2 linked regions of the Arabidopsis thaliana genome follow. The protein of the gene in region 1 purifies or fractionates together with the protein of each later gene. This does not show direct contact. Each region holds a gene or a part of one and is shown on either strand. Other genes may lie near its edges.

Region 1 (6,282 bases):
TAGAGGCAAGAATTTTTGTGAATTGATAAAATCAGTACATTGTTTCATAGCAGTTGATGTGAAGTACATTTTTTGGCGGAAAAAATCATTTTTTCATTTTGTTGATTTAAGTATTTTCAAATAGAAGCAAAATAGTCATTAATAATTAAAAGATAATATCAATAAAAATGATTACATGGGAGGATAGTACTAAAAAAACATATTTTTGGAAAAACATTCTTAACAATTTCTCTATATCTAATACGTAAAAACATAGTTTTACATACGAAGTTAAAGATTTAGTTACGTAATTATATGAACAGTTAAAAGACGTGAACATATTAAAGAAAAAAATACTGAAAAAAGCTTTACAAATAGAACGAAGTTGACCTAATTTTGTTGATTATGTAGATTTATTTTCGTAAAAGTGACCTAATTTTGTTGATTCGTGCGTTGGAGTTAGTATATCTTTGTCGTTTGCATAGTATCATCGGCTTTAGGGATTGACTATGTTTATGTTTTTATTTTTGTAAGAGTAGTTACAAGAAAAACTTCATTCAACAAAACAACAAAGACAAATTTTTGTTGTCGCAATTTATACTCTTTGTAGCTGATTGAGTTTGCAAATACTTGCATTTTCCTTTCACATCATCTCTCAATCTCTGTTGGGTTCTTTCTCATTTTGCACTGAAAAGAAATAGAAAGCAGTTCACAGCTGTAGCCGCTTAAGATATCTTAATTTTTAAATTTCACAAGTGCATAGAGTACAATCATGCTTAACAATTTAACATTGCAAGATTAGTGCATTGAAAGTTGAAAACCATCACAATTCACAACATACAGACAACTCTGTTTCTTTGTCCCTTGAGCGCAAATACAACATTTTTGCTTTCTTTATTCAGCAAAATGCCACAGACGAGAACTTAGGTATAATTTCTATATACGTACTTAAGCCTGCATCGGTTTAGAGTGCAGTTTCAGCATCGGTTTCTACTTGCTTCTTAAGGAACTCCAGTACAGAGAGCCGCTGCATGCATGTTAAAATTACATTTGTCAGATAAAGTTTTACTGACATTCAGCAGCTTTGGATAAGATACAAATAAAAAGGGAGTCGTGCAAGAATCTTACCCGTTGCTCGAGAGCAGAATCTTCAGAGTCCAGTTTCAAAGATTCCAGCAGTCTCATGCCTTCCTTGAACCCATCTGTCGCTGCAACTTCATTTTGTAGAGTCCTGTCTATATCCGCAACTTTGGCTAAGGAAACAGCCACATCCAGAATCTACATAAAAAATGTAGAAATAACAAAAGAAATCAATTTCTACTTCCGGACAGACCTTTGCTTACTATATTTGAGTTCCAATTTCTCTAGGCAAGAAATCAAGTATAAAATAAGAAAACAAAGAGAAGATTTCCAACCAACAGAATAACCCAATTACAATGCACGTAAATCTAATTATATGTATCCAAAAGAGAGTAACTTTATCGCAGAGAATTAAATGACACCTCATCCAAGTATGTATACTGCAACGACAACACGTCAGTTACCTAAACCTCAGTTCAACCCAGGCAACAAAATAGCAATTGACTTGAATAAAATCTAGGAAACTATTTAGAGAATTTCTCTGAACATTCATGGTAAAGTAACAAATAAGTAAAATGAAAAGAGTGAACCAAGAAACCCGCTTGAACACATTGAGAACAAGTATACTATTTTCACTTTACATCGTATTTCAGATCCTTTGATCCACTAGCACCTTAAGTTAATCTCTATATCTTTTAATGCATTTGAATTCATTTTGCCTGGACCCAAATGAACACCAAGATGTAACAATCACATAAATAAACGCTTTCTGCCTAGAGAGTGAGAGATTACGATCTACAAAAGAGCCTTCACGAATGCTACAATAAGTCAATAACTTAGCTAACAACAGATATTTTTCTGCGAGACCTTGAAATGTATATGGCGACTAAGAGTAGCCAGTTCAGCTAACCAAACATTGGGACAAAACAAAGAAGAGCAAAAACAGAAAACTGTATGAGGGCACACTTACTTGTGAAGGAGCATTTGGGTGGTGCTTCATTGCATCACGTCTGACATTTAAAGCTCTATCATAATACGACCTTGCAGCTTGTAGATCTTCGTCATAATATTTTAGATCTCCTATTTTATTGAGTGAGACAGAAAGTGTATGTGTAATCTGCAAGTTAAGTTAAAATTGTAAGCAAAAAGGTAAAAAGTTTTCAACATCAAAATTTAACAAGAACCAATGTGCTATAACCTCCAAATCATTCAACGGCAGTTTCATAAGGAATTCAACACTCTCTTCAAAATGCTTGACTGCAGAGCTTGAGTCTCCCATCGCTCGGCTGCAACAACAACAAAAAATAATTTAACCATCAAACTTAAGTCCCGGAAAAAGAAAAAATTCAACACACCAAACAGAAGATCAAACATTTTGGCCAAAATAACACAGTTCAGGAGGAGAAAATGATTATGTATAAAGTAGGTTTTTCGAACCAAGCATGTACTGTTGCTTCTCCTTTCCATTTATTCTGAACGAGGTGATTGAACCACAGAGAAAGATGTATGCAAATGATAAGAGGATACAGAAAAATCTGAATATATGAATATATTTCCAGTCAATTGATGTAGACAGGGTCCATCTAGAAAACCAGAATCTAGTTCAAACGAGAAAGAAATTATTTTAGTATTTCCCAAAGTGCCATGCGCACTCTAAGCAAGATGAAAGCAACAACCAGTCGACTTGAGAAACTATCAATTGAGGAAACTGCCAAGGAAGGGCCACATACTTGAGAAACTCCAAATTAAAAAAAATCAATTTGAACAACAAAGTGGCTCAAGCGGGATCATAAAAGACCACATTGGTGACCACATTCGAAAGCACCGTTGTTTTCATAATCTTAATTGTTCACAGAAACTCGAGAATGGATACATCTTAGAAATAAACAACTTGGGATAAAAAAGAAGACAATATCATACCTACAGTCACCAAGCATGCCAAGGACTGCACCAAGCTGTGAACACAACTCTGGTGTATTGCCCTCCCTCCCTAGTTGATCCCGAATGTCCTCGGTACACATTGCCAACCTTGATTTAGCACTTTCATAATTTTGGGCACTAAATGCCTGCGCATACAAGTTGAATTAGAACAAGATCTCACAGCGGGACATCATAACAAATGTAAGTGGTGCAAAAGAGAATAATCCCATCGGTTAGGTCAACAAAATTTAGAGACAGAACTCACCCTCATAGCTTGTTGCACCAAGAAAGAACCTCTTTCCATGGAAACGTCAGCGTAAATCACTTTTTTGTTATCATTTTCGACCTCTTCTTTTTCTGTTCCATTGACGACAGATCTCTTAATTCTAGCATGGCCTTCAATAAATTGATCAACCATCTTCTGAAGGTTTTCATCAACTTCAATACTTTCAATGTCAGCACCGCATAGAGGGCAGTCCTTAAACCGTGTTAAGCATACTCTGCATTCAAGAAACCACAAAGTATAAGAAAAGTAGACCCAATCATGAGCCAAAAAAGAAATAAGCGGCCGAGCAACTATGGCTTACTTGCAGAACACATGTGTGCAAGGCACACATCTACTGCTCTCATATAGAAGTGCTTGACATAACATACAGCTAAAAGGCCCAAGCTTGAATGTTTGAGAGTCATAGCCAAAAGGGCACTTGGCAGGTACCGTTGCAGAATCAGTAGAGTCCTTATTCAAGTTTCCTTCTTGTTCAGGACATCCTTTACTCCCATTTTCGTCAGGACGAGCAGATTTAGAAAAAGGGCAACCAGAAGCCGTCGTTTCCCCTTGCTTTCGAGCAGAGGCATCGTCGGGACGAGCAGCTTTAGAAAAAGGACAACCAGAAGCGGTAATTTCGCCTTGTTTTCGAGTCGACCCATCGTCAGGACGAGCAGCTTTCGAGAACGGGCAAACAGAAGTCGTCGTCATTCGTGAAGGTAGCAACAACCCTACAACACCTCAAAAGGAAAATTCAAAACCTAAATTACTAAAATTGCTTCCTCAAGATGAAATTCGAAATTGATTCTCTAGCTAAACTATCAACAGCTGGAAATCGAACATAGAAGAAGCTAATTCAGAAGTAGCTCAACAGAGAGAGATGGAAAAAACCTGAATTGGATTGGATTGAGATTAGATTTGGAAATGTCTCTTTCGCTGCTTCTCTGCAATCAATCAATGATCGATTGATAGCTCTCTCTCTTCTTTTTTCTGTTTCCGATAAGTTTTTTTTTTTTTTTTTTTGTGCGTTGGAATTGGATGGTGTTTTGTTTTCTCTCAGTCAAACGAAAAATAGATATTACTAAATGGGCCTGCGGTTTTTGTAGCCTATTTAAGAATTTGGGTCACTAGTCAATTTAAGAAAACCGTTGTTCTGGATTATAAACTGGTTGGATTTTTAATATTAATCAGCTTTTTTTTTTTTTTCACTGAAGGTTTAGTTTTATTAAAATCCACATCACAATGGTTACAACCCATTAATGGCCCAAATGGCTACATCACTTAAAGATAAAATTTTGCTCAATACACGTGTCAAACACAAAGATACGTAGATGAAACGTGTTGCAAGAAAAGCTTGGAAACTTTCCGTCATCCTTCGCCGTTAATTACTCCGACTATTGTAAACACAATCGACGCCGGAAAAAGTTTAAGCATCGTTTTTTGTTGTTGCTTGTCACCGGAGAATGTTGAAACAGCTACAGGCAATCTTAATATGCTGGAAACAAGTCTTCTTTCATTACATTGAACATAATTACCGATGAAGATTTGTTGTAACCAAAGATCTGAAGAACCAGTTTGAGAACATCCAAGAGAAAAAGCAGCAAATCCACCCGATCTGGTCGGATTAGATATCCGCATAACCTCACTGGAAACCACCGGAAACATAAAACAAAACAAAACTCAAGGAGCTAGTTGGAGACCACCGTTGAACGAGAAATTGTTAGGTTGGCACCACCAAACATAGATCAGAGAGATTTTTAAAAGATAAACTAAAGAGGACTAAAAGAAATCGGCATAAAACCGATTCACGGCAGCGATTCACGGCAGATGAAAATACCAAGCCAGCCAAAACCGCTAATGGGAGCCGGATTTACTGGACGAAAGCCGACCATCGCCGCATACTAAGCCGGTGGATGTCGGGCTGAAGCCAATTGAACCAATTGGACGGCCTTATCGGAAAATTGTAACAGACGGTTTTTGATACTACTAATATTAATCAGCTAACATAAGTAAACAATTTTTAATATTCAAAAAAAAAAAAAAAAAAAAAAAAAATATATCCTCTTCCTTCTCTCTTAAAAACAAAAGCACCGCTTCAATTCCGCCGGCGTTGTGAGCCACCACGGTCATGACGTCGGTTTGGCTTTTTGGTTTATGTTCAGTTATGTCTCTTTAAGTTGTGGTTAAGGAGATTTCTGGGTTGGTTTCGATTTCGTTTCCTCCTCAATTTCTCTTATTAGATCTATAGTTTCGATTGGTGATTTTGCAAATTAGCGTGGTTTTCTTCTCTGACTAAATACTCCCTGGCCTAATCACGATCGCTCTATGCCACTCACTGTCGGTGTTGTGGTGATTCGGGTTGGGTGACCTAATTTTGGGTTTCCTCACACAGCTTCAACAATACGGATCTAGGGCGAAATCCGCCCAGATTTTGGGTTCTTTCTACCGGTTCAAGTCGCATAGTCGATATCTCCGGCCACGGCGTTCTCGACGGTCTCTGCATGTTTAGCTGAGTTTCCACCGTCTGCCATCCAAAGTATCCCAAGGTTTTTCTTCTGAAGATTTTTAATTATCAAGTAAGGCAAGAAGATCAAATTTTCTTAAAGTGGGTGTCTCAATCTCCGACGAAATCTCCGATGCCAGTTAATTTTCGATCTTGGTTTATTTGGTTAAAGAGAGAACTATGTTTATGTGTAAAATCATCAATCATGTTTTATTTTGTCTTTCTACGTCGTTTCCCCATGTCGGGGCTTAGTGTCGGGGTTTCATTCCTCGCCGGCTTGTGTACCGGAGGATTATATCCTGCCGGCTTTGTCGTCCCGTAATTCACTCGGGTTTATGTATCTGATATGGTTTGTGCTGATAATAAAATTAGCTTTGTGAAAAAAAAAAAAAAGTAAACAATCAATCCTTTAACCGTATCCGGTCGGATATTTTCTAAGAAATGGTTTAGTCACCAAAATGTCATAACCAGTTGAACCCATTCAAGTTCTGTAGTTTACATATATATATGGATACTATCTGATTGATATAAGATT
Region 2 (5,825 bases), on another chromosome or scaffold:
TATGATATTTTGTGTCAAAAAAAAACGGGGGCTATGATATTTTTTACATAGCTACAATTTCTTTTTCTTTTTTTGGGGTGAATCTAGATATCAGGCTTGGGTTCATTATTACTTCAGGTTTAGGATTAATATTGGATAGCATATATATCCTCTAATTTGTAATTAACTCAACATTTGATAACACGAAGATATATTCTGTGATTTGAAATTATCTATCATCAAAAATGGAGCCAATAACTTTGAAACAACACGTTTTACCAGTGATAGTAACACCACATTTGGTTATGTCATATGTGCTCCACGTGATGTGGTCCATGTGGATACAAAATAACACACACACAAAAAACTGCATTTGAGTTATTTTAGTCATTGCACTTAATATATATGCGGCATACTGGAGAGGATTAAAAGTCCTAATAACTCTAAATGTCTAAATTATAAACAAGTAAATTTATAACTACGAGAGTATCTCCCTACTCCACTTTTATCTCTTATAGCTTATTGGATTGTTGTTTTCGTAACAGAGCTACTACAATGTTTATGGAGGGGGGCAACTGCGCAATATGTCCTTTAAAGAAATATATAAAAGAATGCGAAATGAATTCTGTTAAACGGAGATAGATGAAGATTGTCTTCTAATGATTGCCACTTTCTGAGAATAGTATGTTACTGTTGATTGTTGTACCTAGCTCTAGTTGTAAATAATAATATCAAACTAAGTAACAAGAGCAACTTGTTGACACTAAAGGGACCCCAAGTTACCCTCAATCAAAAATTGTGGATCAGTTCATCATCGAAGTAACGTGTTAATTATCGTCATATGCTCCACAACATCGACTCCCCACCATACCCACTCAATAATGTCAATTCAGCTCTCTCTTTTTGTATTTTTATAAAGAATGTATTTAAATTTTCAACCCATAATTTATAGATTCATGATCATCTATTAATAATTCATTAAATACTTTTCTGCATATTGATTTATTTAAAAGCCGTACGCAAGCTCAAATCGGATAAGACTAAAATAATATCACCCAGTTAAGTTAACTAACTTATTTTATTTTGAATAGTAGTATTAATTACTTTTGTTCAACTACTCCAATACTGTTTATATCCTTTCGACGGTATTAGTTATTTTCATGTTTCACGCATTTTTGTAATTGCAAATACAGACACCTTTGTTGTAACACATGTTGATTAATTTTCCGAAACTATATACTTTTGAAGACAAAAATTTAAAACAAAGAAACCTCAGATCTACAGTTCCACCTCGTGTCTGACACGAGTTTCTATGCGATAAGATCGAACATGTATATCAGCAGACTTTACTATAGATGAACTCATATTAGTAATAAGATCCAAATACGGAAATAAACAACTTGGAAAGTGAATGGAAGTTTTAAGAGAAAAATCATTTCTAGAATTATTTTTTAGATCATTTCTTTTTTTGGAGCATCCATTAGAGTTTTGTTTTTAGACTTTATGATTTATTTTTCTTTTGTTATCAGCACAATAATTGATTTTCAAAAGATATTGTATCTTTTTTTTATCTCTTGAGAAGCACAGCACAACAACGAGCAATGCTGACTTGTCGGGGTCAGCGATTATTATTAGTCACCGAACGAATTTTTCTTGGGTTGGAGCCAAAACCTAGCAAAAAAATATCTAAGTGGGGGCACTACATTATTGTTTTAACACCAAGGAAAAGTAAACAACAATGGCCCATTTTTACTGTATCGAGAAATTGATCTCGAAAGGACAAATGTACCCTTCCACTTCGGGAATCCATTATTGTGCATAACACACGCTGTTTCACTATATATACTTTCACATAGGATCTCAACACTCTCACTAAACCAAAATCCTCAAAAGCCTATTTGGGGGATCATCAACCTTCTATCATCACCATGGATCCTTACAAGGTATCTTCGATCATATTCTTCTTACTTTTTCTTTGTTTTTGTGTGGTGTATGTGTATCTTAATTAGAATTAGGTTCAACTATATATGCTCGTTTTCTAAACTATTTTTTAATTGGATTGATGTTCTTAAATCTTAAGGGTCAAAATACTTTTTATGCTCAAAAACTTACTTAAATTCTGTGATCGCTTGAACCTAAGTTGATGATGTTGATTTCTGTTTTGGCTGGCTATCTTTAATTAAAACGTTTAACCACTGCGTGAGAAAGACACGCCACATGTGGTTTTTGTTGTTTTTTTCCTTAGATTAGAAGTTATTTTGTTGTTGTTTTTTTTTTTATTATTATTACACACATGTGTTCTAAAAATCGGACGTTCAAATGATATAATCGATTGTTTAGACGTCCGACCGTATATTATTTTAGTGATATCAGCCAAATCAGATTAAGTAATCATCAACAAAATGATTGATCAGATCTACTAAACACCTGAGTAATCAAATCTACACGTTTGATTAATCAAATTAAATAACCGATCAGTTAGATCTATACATATGATAAATCTTTTTTTACAACATTCGGTTAATCAAACCATTGTCGGTCGATCTATCAATACAAGTGTATTTTTTTTTCACATACAAAAAAATTATCTCACCGACGAAAAAAAAATAAAAAATTATTATGTAGATCCATCGAACAAAAGGCTTGAATATACGGAAGTCACTTAAAAGTGTAATAATCGAATAAATATTAGTGGATAAAATGAAATTTATCTACAACCCTACTCTCCGACATGTTACTGTTTGCGTCATCAAATCTAAAGCCTTTTTGGCAAATAATGGTCGGAAGACTACTCGTGTCGGGATGGACCACCCGGATCCGATCAGGAAACGGGTTTTGATATGTTTCGGGTTACGACAAAAAATTAGGGCTTTTTATCAAATCAATCAGTTGGTAGTAAAATTTTGTGGATTGTTCTTGTCGATTCCGTTTGATTGTTGACCAAATTTCTTCCTGGATTTTGTTGATAATCGATCGTATAATGGTGATTGCAGTATCGTCCTTCAAGCGCGTACAACGCCCCATTCTACACCACAAACGGTGGTGCTCCAGTCTCCAACAACATCTCTTCCCTCACCATCGGAGAAAGAGGTATCGTAACCCTGAATTTCAAGAGTCTATCAATAAGAATCGGAACTTGTTGGATTTATGAAAGAGATAAAACTGAGATATAGAGTCTAAGCTGAGATCTTGTTCGTGAAGCGTGATGTGATTATTTTTAACATGTGTTACTTCGTAATGGGCAGGTCCGGTTCTTCTTGAGGATTATCATTTGATCGAGAAGGTTGCTAATTTCACCAGAGAGAGGATCCCTGAGAGAGTGGTTCATGCTAGAGGAATCAGTGCTAAGGGTTTCTTTGAAGTCACCCATGACATTTCAAACCTCACTTGTGCTGATTTTCTCAGAGCCCCTGGTGTTCAAACTCCGGTTATTGTCCGTTTCTCCACCGTTGTCCACGAACGTGCCAGTCCTGAAACCATGAGGGATATTCGTGGTTTTGCTGTCAAGTTTTACACCAGAGAGGTATAAGAAAAGATTCAAAGTTTCCATTTTTAATCGTCTTTTAGCTTCTTTAGAATCAGGACTGATTTTTGTCTTGTTACTGTTATGATCAGGGAAACTTTGATCTTGTTGGGAACAACACTCCGGTGTTCTTCATCCGTGATGGGATTCAGTTCCCGGATGTTGTCCACGCGTTGAAACCTAACCCGAAAACAAACATCCAAGAGTACTGGAGGATTCTGGACTACATGTCCCACTTGCCTGAGAGTTTGCTCACATGGTGCTGGATGTTTGATGATGTTGGTATTCCACAAGATTACAGGCACATGGAGGGTTTCGGTGTCCACACCTACACTCTTATTGCCAAATCTGGAAAAGTTCTCTTTGTGAAGTTCCACTGGAAACCAACTTGTGGGATCAAGAATCTGACTGATGAAGAGGCCAAGGTTGTTGGAGGAGCCAATCACAGCCACGCCACTAAGGATCTCCACGATGCCATTGCATCTGGCAACTACCCCGAGTGGAAACTTTTCATCCAGACCATGGATCCTGCAGATGAGGATAAGTTTGACTTTGACCCACTTGATGTGACCAAGATCTGGCCTGAGGATATTTTGCCTCTGCAACCGGTTGGTCGCTTGGTTCTGAACAGGACCATTGACAATTTCTTCAATGAAACTGAGCAGCTTGCGTTCAACCCGGGTCTTGTGGTTCCTGGAATCTACTACTCAGACGACAAGCTGCTCCAGTGTAGGATCTTTGCTTATGGTGACACTCAGAGACATCGCCTTGGACCGAATTATTTGCAGCTTCCAGTCAATGCTCCCAAATGTGCTCACCACAACAATCACCATGAAGGTTTTATGAACTTCATGCACAGAGATGAGGAGGTACGTCTTAGTACACCACTTGAGCTACCATTGTTAGTCTTTTTACTTGGAATCAAAATTCTCATTTGGTTTGTACTTTTTACAGATCAATTACTACCCCTCAAAGTTTGATCCTGTCCGCTGCGCTGAGAAAGTTCCCACCCCTACAAACTCCTACACTGGAATTCGAACAAAGGTCCGATTCCTGCCATGCCTTCTCTAAATCTTCAAATCCTAAACTCAAGTTTATTAGAATATTGGTGCTAAGAAAACCTTTTAATTGCTAATGTTGCAGTGCGTCATCAAGAAAGAGAACAACTTCAAACAGGCTGGAGACAGGTACAGATCATGGGCACCAGACAGGCAAGACAGGTTTGTTAAGAGATGGGTGGAGATTCTATCGGAGCCACGTCTCACCCACGAGATCCGCGGCATCTGGATCTCTTACTGGTCTCAGGTCAGAACAAAAAAACACTCGGTCAAATTTCTACGTCCTTTTTACCAAGTTTCAGCAAACTAAAACATTATTTATCTCTCTGTATCTCTCAGGCTGATCGATCCTTGGGACAGAAACTTGCAAGCCGTCTGAACGTGAGGCCAAGCATCTAGAGGCCAATCTCCATATAAGCTCAGTCTATGTGAGGTACAATCAATCTCATCGATCTATCATCGCTTGGTCGTTAAATCCGTCAAAAAGATAATCACATGTGTTGTTGTTTCTTGTCTATATAATAATAATGCTTGTAATCCCAAAAACTCATGTTTCCTTCCTTTCTACTCTCACTGTCTTTGTAATCTCTTTTTACAATAAATCAATGTTTCTTGAAGCAGTAAACAATTTCTAAGATTTATGGTGGTCGTTATACATATTATTAATTCAGGAAAAAAAAGAGAAGATACCGTAATTGAACATGTATTATTTTAAGGAGAATCCTGAAATGGATCAACAATTGTCTAATTATGGTATAGTATCTGGCGAAATCAAAGACGATATCATCCACACGTAATTAGTTTGACTATTAATACGAGGATTATCATTTGGATAAGGATTAACAAAGACAAAACACATACGTGTTTTGGTGTTGAGCTAAAATAAGATATTTTGGCTCTCGCTATAAAAAAAAAATCGACAACAGTGCAGACACACGCCGATTTGCGAGATACACACAGTCTCACCTAAAAATCGCAAAAGAAGAAAAATTCGGATCAAAATTGTCTTCAAGCATCATGGATCCATACAGGGTACATCGATTGATTCTCTTTTTTTGTAATCTGTGATTTTACCTTACTTGATTTCGTATCGATTTGGTGTGATTTCGTGTTGAATCCAAAGTGTATGAATGATCTCTCTCTCTCGGTTAAAATGATGCAAAATTGGGGTGATTGTTCGACTTGTTGAGGTTTTTTTGTGTGAATCGATTTCTTTATTATATAGTGGAGATTGGGTTTCGATTTGCATGCGTTGAAGATTCCAC

The links.
Region 2: the proteins of AT3G54360 (region 1) and CAT3 purify together in Arabidopsis thaliana (affinity purification with western blotting; one study listed by BioGRID). This does not show direct contact.

Annotation. Positions count from the first base shown.
Region 1 is NC_003074.8:20,127,627-20,133,908, forward strand, and holds AT3G54360 (zinc ion binding protein), read right to left. Parts: upstream 4,288-6,282; 5' UTR 4,136-4,287; intron 3,976-4,135; 5' UTR 3,956-3,975; coding exon 3,567-3,955; intron 3,480-3,566; coding exon 3,245-3,479; intron 3,126-3,244; coding exon 2,980-3,125; intron 2,346-2,979; coding exon 2,258-2,345; intron 2,177-2,257; coding exon 2,030-2,176; intron 1,258-2,029; coding exon 1,108-1,257; intron 1,007-1,107; coding exon 944-1,006; 3' UTR 928-943; exon of another isoform or gene 667-927; 3' UTR 501-666; downstream 1-500. Other genes in the region: AT3G54363 (uncharacterized protein), read right to left, coding at 4,613-4,909. UniProt on the Arabidopsis thaliana protein: Has holdase chaperone activity that may fold catalase to a functional structure. Not required for the peroxisome import of catalases. Required for the activity of catalases and acts mainly at the post-transcriptional level.
Region 2 is NC_003070.9:7,141,235-7,147,059, forward strand, and holds CAT3 (catalase 3), read left to right. Parts: upstream 1-1,898; 5' UTR 1,899-1,907; coding exon of another isoform or gene 1,908-1,922; 5' UTR 1,923-2,679; coding exon 2,680-2,871; exon of another isoform or gene 2,872-2,972; coding exon 2,973-3,069; exon of another isoform or gene 3,070-3,224; coding exon 3,225-3,502; intron 3,503-3,594; coding exon 3,595-4,371; coding exon of another isoform or gene 4,372-4,456; coding exon 4,457-4,546; coding exon of another isoform or gene 4,547-4,573; exon of another isoform or gene 4,574-4,645; coding exon 4,646-4,807; intron 4,808-4,899; coding exon 4,900-4,959; 3' UTR 4,960-5,306; downstream 5,307-5,825. Other genes in the region: CAT1 (catalase 1), read left to right, coding at 5,578-5,592. UniProt on the Arabidopsis thaliana protein: Occurs in almost all aerobically respiring organisms and serves to protect cells from the toxic effects of hydrogen peroxide.